2 linked regions of the Oryzias latipes genome follow. The protein of the gene in region 1 interacts with the protein of each later gene in a biochemical or structural test. Links are inferred from orthologs where the notes say so. Each region holds a gene or a part of one and is shown on either strand. Other genes may lie near its edges.

Evidence for each region.
Region 2: the proteins of lztr1 (region 1) and kras form a complex in vitro, tested with the Homo sapiens proteins (2 studies listed by BioGRID, with this or other methods). The link is inferred for Oryzias latipes from reciprocal best matches to the Homo sapiens genes LZTR1 and KRAS.

What each region holds. Positions count from the first base shown.
Region 1 is NC_019867.2:13,323,513-13,327,871, forward strand, and holds the start of lztr1 (leucine-zipper-like transcriptional regulator 1), read left to right. Parts: upstream 1-1,480; 5' UTR 1,481-2,228; coding exon 2,229-2,380; intron 2,381-2,468; coding exon 2,469-2,531; intron 2,532-2,605; coding exon 2,606-2,662; intron 2,663-2,737; coding exon 2,738-2,817; intron 2,818-2,901; coding exon 2,902-3,010; intron 3,011-3,108; coding exon 3,109-3,192; intron 3,193-3,321; coding exon 3,322-3,379; intron 3,380-3,472; coding exon 3,473-3,612; intron 3,613-3,682; coding exon 3,683-3,884; intron 3,885-4,201; coding exon 4,202-4,312; intron 4,313-4,359. UniProt on the Homo sapiens protein: Substrate-specific adapter of a BCR (BTB-CUL3-RBX1) E3 ubiquitin-protein ligase complex that mediates ubiquitination of Ras (K-Ras/KRAS, N-Ras/NRAS and H-Ras/HRAS).
Region 2 is NC_019864.2:21,729,382-21,732,343, forward strand, and holds the end of kras (GTPase KRas), read left to right. Parts: intron 1-911; coding exon 912-1,031; 3' UTR 1,032-1,036; intron 1,037-2,267; downstream 2,268-2,962. UniProt on the Homo sapiens protein: Ras proteins bind GDP/GTP and possess intrinsic GTPase activity. Plays an important role in the regulation of cell proliferation.

The sequences.
Region 1 (4,359 bases):
ATTCACTGTAACTCTGCAGCAGCACGTCAAGTTCAGCTGGCGAAAAATACGCAGACCTCTTTTTTTCACGGTTGCCATGGTGACTCGTGATATCTGCGCTCCATTGATAATGGCTTCTTATAGTCGCGGTGCTCACGCTCACCTCTGAATCAGTCCACTCAGAGTTGATTGACCTAACTCCGATCAGCTTCCCTGAAACAGAAAACTCAGAGTTGTTAATCTCCCGATTGACCAACTCAGAGTTCAAGTTCAACCTCAGAGTTGGTCGAACCTCCTTTCTGAAACAGGCCCAAGGCCTTCAATCAACAGGCTACAGCAAGCAACTATTTCGTTTAAAAATGATTTAGGAATAAACTGATCAATTCTGTTTTGTTTTTTAACCATGGAGAATGACAAGCCGGTTGGGGTAAGTTTAACTCTTCAGCACCTGCACTATTTTGGATTTGCATTAACTATAGCTTGGACATTCACATTGGCTGCTTAGTTTATATGTGTTTATATGCAGGCTCTAATAAAACTCAACGGGATCGGTTTTGTTTATAGCTACATGGATGTTTCGGTCCACATTACATCTCTTTTGACCTGTAAAACAAAAAACAAAAAAACAAACAAAAAAAAACGTGATGTCACTTCTGCTGACGGCTCGCGGCGCCTCGTGCCTCCTGTCGGTCACATCATGTACCGCCTGAGCGGCGCTTAAAGCAACTTTTATTTCAGATAGAAAGTAATACCTTTAGAAAAGTCCCCAAAATTAAAGACATGCAGTTCAAAATTATTATAATTAAATTATAAACAATTACTGCACATCGGCAGAGACATTGAGGAGTAGATTTGGCTTTGAGGTACATCCGTGTGATTTCTGTCATACAGTCCAAGATACAACCAGACACCTGTTTTTTTTTATCCAAAGATTCTGGCAAGATTATCATAATTGGCCTAGTCAAAAAAATTAACAACATACAATTCACAGAAAAAGATATTTTGTTTTATAACAGTTAGCGAACATCCTCCTGATTTTGGGAAAATATCATATTCATAAGAAAAAGTGGAAAAAAGATCGGCCGAATTTCCTGTGTTTTAAAAATGAAGTCAGATTGTATTTATCCTCATTGAAATGTATTCACAATTCAAGTCTTTTCATTGTTGACATTTGTAAATCTGCTACAGAATGGTTACAGATCTAGGGTCCAGATTGTTGATTGCCTTATGCAGAAAGTTTTTTATATATTTTTTATATATGTATAAATTCTTGTTTTTTTTTTTTTAATCTTTGTTTTTGTGAAGAGATGTGCCTTGCATCATTGTGTGGTTGTGTCTGTGAGAGTCTTGTAATGATTATATTTAAATTTAAAAAAAGAAAATAAAAAAAAGAATACCTTCACACACAAAATTACTGGTTTGAATAAATATAATAATAATAATTGATCATAGGTGGAATCGTATCACTAACACAATACACTATGAAAAAAACACCATTAACCTAAATCTTATTATACCTGAAGGAAAGAAAAGACAAAATACATTTTAAAAGAGAATAAAACACACGAGATTGGAAATCAAATCATGTCTTTTTTGATTTAAAAAAAACACCTGTCAAGTACAATAATAATAATATGATAATAAATCTCCTTGAGTGAATCTTTGCAATAGTTTTGTGCGACAGTTTTAATGACTTATTGGTGGGTCTAAAGATAAAAACAGAAATCTGTAAGTTTCCTAAAATGTAGATATATTTTTTTGTTTAATATATAATGCGCAAGATGGATCGTACATCTTAGTGAACCAGCGGGGGTTGGGGTTGAGCTTGGACGCAGCCTGCGTTTCACGTGGGCGTGGCTTTGACAGCAATGTTTTGCTAGTGAAAACTTTAAGCCTTTATTTTTGCTCCAATTCAGTGATATACATATGTACTTTGACGTGGTGTTGAATCGATTGGGTGGGTTGTGTATGGAAACGTTTTGTGCTTTCCGGTAACCTTTCTTTCGGTGCTAAAGTTGCTTGTTTCTACCATATGAGTGGCCGAAGCTAACTTGCTAGCTAGGTTAGCTCTGACCATAGCTTTAAACGAATCATTGGTCTATTTTCTCCGCCATTAAAAACACGCAGCCTCTGAGTTAAGGATTAAGTAATTGACCTTTTTCGCTATCTAAAAGAATGATGCGAGCAGACGATGCCCCTGCATATAGATGAGAACTGACCCGGTTGGATGAGTTGGTGAAAATCTGAAAATGTCCTGCAAATCCACGAAAGTGGCCCCGAGTGTTGATTTTGACCACAGCTGCTCCGATAGCGTCGAGTATCTGACGCTTAACTTCGGCCCGTTTGAGACTGTCCATCGATGGAGAAGACTTCCACCATGTGATGAATTTGTTGGTGCAAGGTAAACCTCTCCTAAGAGGAAACTAGCCTTCAAATTGTACATATTTTTCATTGTAATTACCTCTGAGTCTTGTGTGTTTTTTATACAGGCGCAGCAAACACACAGTTGTGGCATACAGAGATGCCATCTACGTGTTTGGAGGAGATAATGGGTGAGTTCCACTCCTCAGTAAGTCAGGAGTTTTGCCCCCCTCAGACTGTAATATTGTTGTGTGCCACCCATCAGGAAGAACATGCTTAATGATTTGCTCCGGTTTGATGTGAAGGACTGCTCCTGGTGCCGGTAAGGCAGCTTAAAACAAATCCAAAAACAGAGTGGAAAATATGGTTTAACATCTTCCAATGACTTGTGTCTCAGAGCTTTCACTACAGGAACCCCGCCAGCACCCAGATATCACCACTCTGCAGTGGTATATGGCAGCAGCATGTTTGTCTTTGGTATGTTTATTGTGTTTCTAGTTAGATATATTGACATCACTTGATTTAATCCACTTAATTTGACCTCCAACACTATTTTTTTAGGTGGCTACACTGGAGATATCTACTCCAATTCAAACCTGAAAAATAAAAATGACCTTTTCGAATACAAGTTTGCCACAGGACAGTGGACCGAATGGAAAGTGGACGGAAGGTAACACATTTATTCGTGACAGTAGTAAATTTATTCAATTTTCTTACTACAAAGTCACTGAATTGTCATTCTTTGAGAAACATGTTTGTTTGTTTTAGCTTGCCAGTGGCCAGGTCTGCACATGGAGCCACAGTCTACAGTGATAAATTGTGGATATTTGCAGGGTATGATGGTAATGCCAGGTATGTTTTATTATTATTATTTTTCCAAATCTTTTTTTCTTGCACGTGCAAACACATTTGTTTGCTTTTTAGCAACAAAAACAACAAAAAAACCCTGACACTTTTTTTACATTTATCAATTTTGTGTAGACTAAACGACATGTGGACCATCAGTCTGCAGGATCGCGATCATGCCTGCTGGGAAGAGGCAAGTTACATTTTTTCCCCTTGTTTATTTGAAAGAGAAAGTAATTTTAAATGAATTCTTCAGTCATTTTTGTTTTTTCCTTTTGACCATTAGATTGATCAAAGTGGCGAGATCCCGCCTTCATGCTGTAACTTCCCTGTGGCTGTATGCAGGAACAAGATGTTTGTGTTTTCGGGTCAGAGCGGAGCCAAAATCACTAACAACCTCTTTCAGTTTGAGTTCAAGGGCCACATGTGAGCTCCAACAGGTCAGTTATTTCCGTTTTATTTTCACACAAAGCAGCTCATCAGTCTGTCCTTTCAGGTGGACACGCATCCCCACCGAACATTTACTGCGAGGCTCCCCTCCACCTCCTCAGAGGCGCTACGGACACACTATGGTCGCCTTTGATCGCCACTTGTACGTCTTTGGAGGTGCTGCTGACAACACTCTACCCAACGAGCTGCACTGCTATGATGTCGACTCGCAGACCTGGGAGGTCATCCAAGCCAGCCTCGACAGTGAGGTACACGTTCTATGCTGAAATATGTTGGGGGGGGGGGATAACGTGTGTTTTGAAAATTTTGTGATATTTCCTTTTAACATGTAAAATAGTCATCAAATCTGTCTTTTTGAATTTGGTTAATATTGTGACAGTCAGCCTATAGGAACTTTATTGTCTCTATTTTTTTAATTCATACAGTCCTCAAGCTGTCTGGGTACTTTACACTCTCCACTGAAATTGATGCTCTTTCTGTTCTTTCCTTCTTGACTATGCACATTTGTTTAATAACCCCCCCCCCTACAAAATCTGATCTGTTCTTCTGTCTCACCCCCCCTCAGATGCCCAGTGGAAGGCTCTTTCATGCTGCTGCTGTCATTCAGGATGCCATGTACATCTTTGGAGGAACTGTGGACAACAATGTTCGCAGTGGGGAGATGTACAGATTCCAGGTTTGTCTGAATGACCGATCAATATACTTGGCTCCAAATGTCTTTGG
Region 2 (2,962 bases), on another chromosome or scaffold:
AGTTGTTAATCTCCTGCAGGCTTGGAATGTGACTCTGATTTTTAAGGAGGCGCCAACTGCAGCCTAAACACAATAACTGTGTTTATTTTACTGCTTTATCAACCAACTGCTGTCTGTTACACTGCATCATCATTCCCATATCAGTCTGTTGATCCACTTTAAGACATGATCTGTGTAGTGTTACTCAATAGGATGAAAAATAGCTGTTTTTCGGAGTGCTAAGCAATAGAATAAAGTTGTCTTTGTTGTGAGTTCATGTCAGTTCTTTATGGTATCTCTAAAACTATAAGGCCCTTCATATCAATCGTTTGATTTATTTTTGACAGCATACTTCTACTTTTGTGTGAAAAGGCAAATCCCACAGAGCTGTGGATTTTTTTTTCCCCATATTTTTTTGCCTCTAAATCAACCGATATGAACAGAGCTACACGGTTATTGCTGAGAGGAGCATCAGCCCTGCATTGCTGTTATTTATTTAGTATTATTGTTTAAATAAATTGTGTTGATTTATTTGAGTTCTCAGGACAAATGTCCATACTTTTCAACAGTTTTGGAATACAAGAAGAAATCCAATTTCCATAGTCCCTTTTACTTCAGTCATTATTTTGCTTAAGAACAGCTCTGCAGTCTCCTCTGCAAAAGCTCCAGGAATAGAAAATAGTTAGTTAATTAGGTTTTATATATTTCATTTTTTTACGTTTTATGGGGAGGAAACTAGACTCATTTCCAAGCCTGCAGAAGCTGCTGCTCAGTTTTCATCCAATCAAACTCTTTGAGTTTTTAAGAGTTTGGAGAGAAGACAAATCCGGCATTTCAGGAGTATCCCCATGTTTATCTTAAAATTTCTGACACCATGAAGAATGTGCTCCTACATTCCTCGCCATTGAGGAGAGTTGTGTCTTATACCGCAGAGAGTGGAAGATGCCTTTTACACTCTGGTACGGGAGATCAGGCAGTACCGGCTCAGTAAGCTCAGCAAGGAAGAAAAGACTCCACGCTGTGTCAACCTTAAAAAGTGTGTTGTGATGTGAGAGGGGTAAGTGTACGCAGCCGCGCACCCATCAGCTCTGTGTGTTGTTGGGGGGAACGGCGGACGAGGGATGGAGGAAGACACTGAGCCAAAGCTGGTGCTTCATGTGGTGTCAAAGCTAACCTGCTGGCTTTTATTGGGACTGTGGTGAGGTTCTAACACGAGCCTGACGTGTTTTGATTTCTTCTATTTTCAGTCTCCATGTGTTGTGGTGGATTATTGTCTAAGGTCATTTTCACACTGGGTTCATCCATCAAGTTTGGGGAAGTTTGATTTGCGCAGCTGGTGTGCTTCTGCATGGATGTCTGAACTCTTTTTCATGGGTTTCTTTTGCCTTATCCCTTCCCCATGGAGGAGCATTTGTCAGTCCTTGTTTCAGCAGTAAAACGACCTCCTAAAGGACTCCTGGCCTAAAAAAGGAATCGATCCAATCAAGTGTTTGGTCACGTTTTTACCAGATTCAGGGAAAACTACCAGTGTGAAAATATCCTTCTGTGCTGAAAGAAACTTGTGTACATGGTTTTGGGTTGCTAAGCCATCTTGGGCGGCTGTAGGTTCTTTTAAAAAAAAAAAAAAATTTAATGGTGAATGTGGGACTAAATCATGCTGAAATATTCATGTCTTTAAAAAAAATAAAAAAGCAAAAAAACAGCAAAAATTCTGACCACAAAGGCTGTGTGTGTTTTGCCTATACGAATCTCTCCATGTCTGTTCTGCATTCTCTGGTTGTCTTCACAACATAAAGTGTCCCAAGGCTCTTTACTCAACAGCTTTTTGCAGATTATTGTCGCATTTCTTGAACTACACAAACTGTTGGAGCTCTCAGACAATTGCGTCAGTGTGGCATCAACAGGCACGAGCTGTATTATAGCACAAAGCCTTTTCTTCACCCCAGCGCGAGAATAAAAGGCTCGTCTAATGTCTCCAGTCTGAAGAAATTCCCACTTAAAAAAAAAAAAAAAAAGCGGTAGCACTGAAAAAAAATGGTTTGAAAGTATTTTTTCTGTTTAAAAAAAAATAAAATTGTCTGTTTACTTTATTCTAAGATGAAAGATATGTCATTGCTTAGACTAATCTACCATGTTTTAGCCACTTGAATTTGTGCAACTGGTTAAAACATCATTTCAGATCCTTAATGTCTTGGTTAAATGTGCATTTTTAAATGACCTGTAACTTTCCAACTCTAACTTTGTACATTTATTTGCTTGTTTTTTTTTTTTTTTGCCTTATTTCCCAGGGCGTGGATGATGCCTTTTATACATTAGTCAGAGAAATCCGGAAGCATAAGGAGAAGATGAGCAAGGAGGGCAAAAAGAAGAAAAAGAAGTCCAAGACAAAGTGTATACTCATGTGAATAAATGCCCCTTTTCAAAACAGAAAAAACAACTTAATAATAAGCAGTTTAAGTAATACATTTTTGTACATTACACTAAATTATTAGCCTCCATTTCATTAAATACTAAACCCGACCTAAATTTTCCTGTTCTTTTTTTCTGGAAAACCAGTAAGCTCTCAGTTTAGTGCCAGTTGCTGAGATGGGTTAGCCCAACAGTTTGAGCTTGATTTCTTTGAGGTGACGGTGTATTTTTTTATTTTTGATTTTTTTACCTAATCATGGAACTGATGTCATCCATCACACCTGACAACACTGTTATCAGCATTAACTCCCCTTTGCTGGAAAAGCTGCAGCTCTTTTCAAGCAGAGGATGCCAAAGAATGAACCCTAGACAAAACTGAAAAAGGGTCATCGCCCCACAGGATGAGGTCCAAAACATTCTGCCACCATGTCCATCCCCTCGCCTTTAAATAGGACTTAGTTTTGTCACTGATAATTATGCATGCAAACTCCTACTCTTTTCCAAGTGTTTAACACCTTAGCTATTATGTTAGCTATTAATAAATTTGTCATTGCTTTGTACTGTGTGGGTAGAA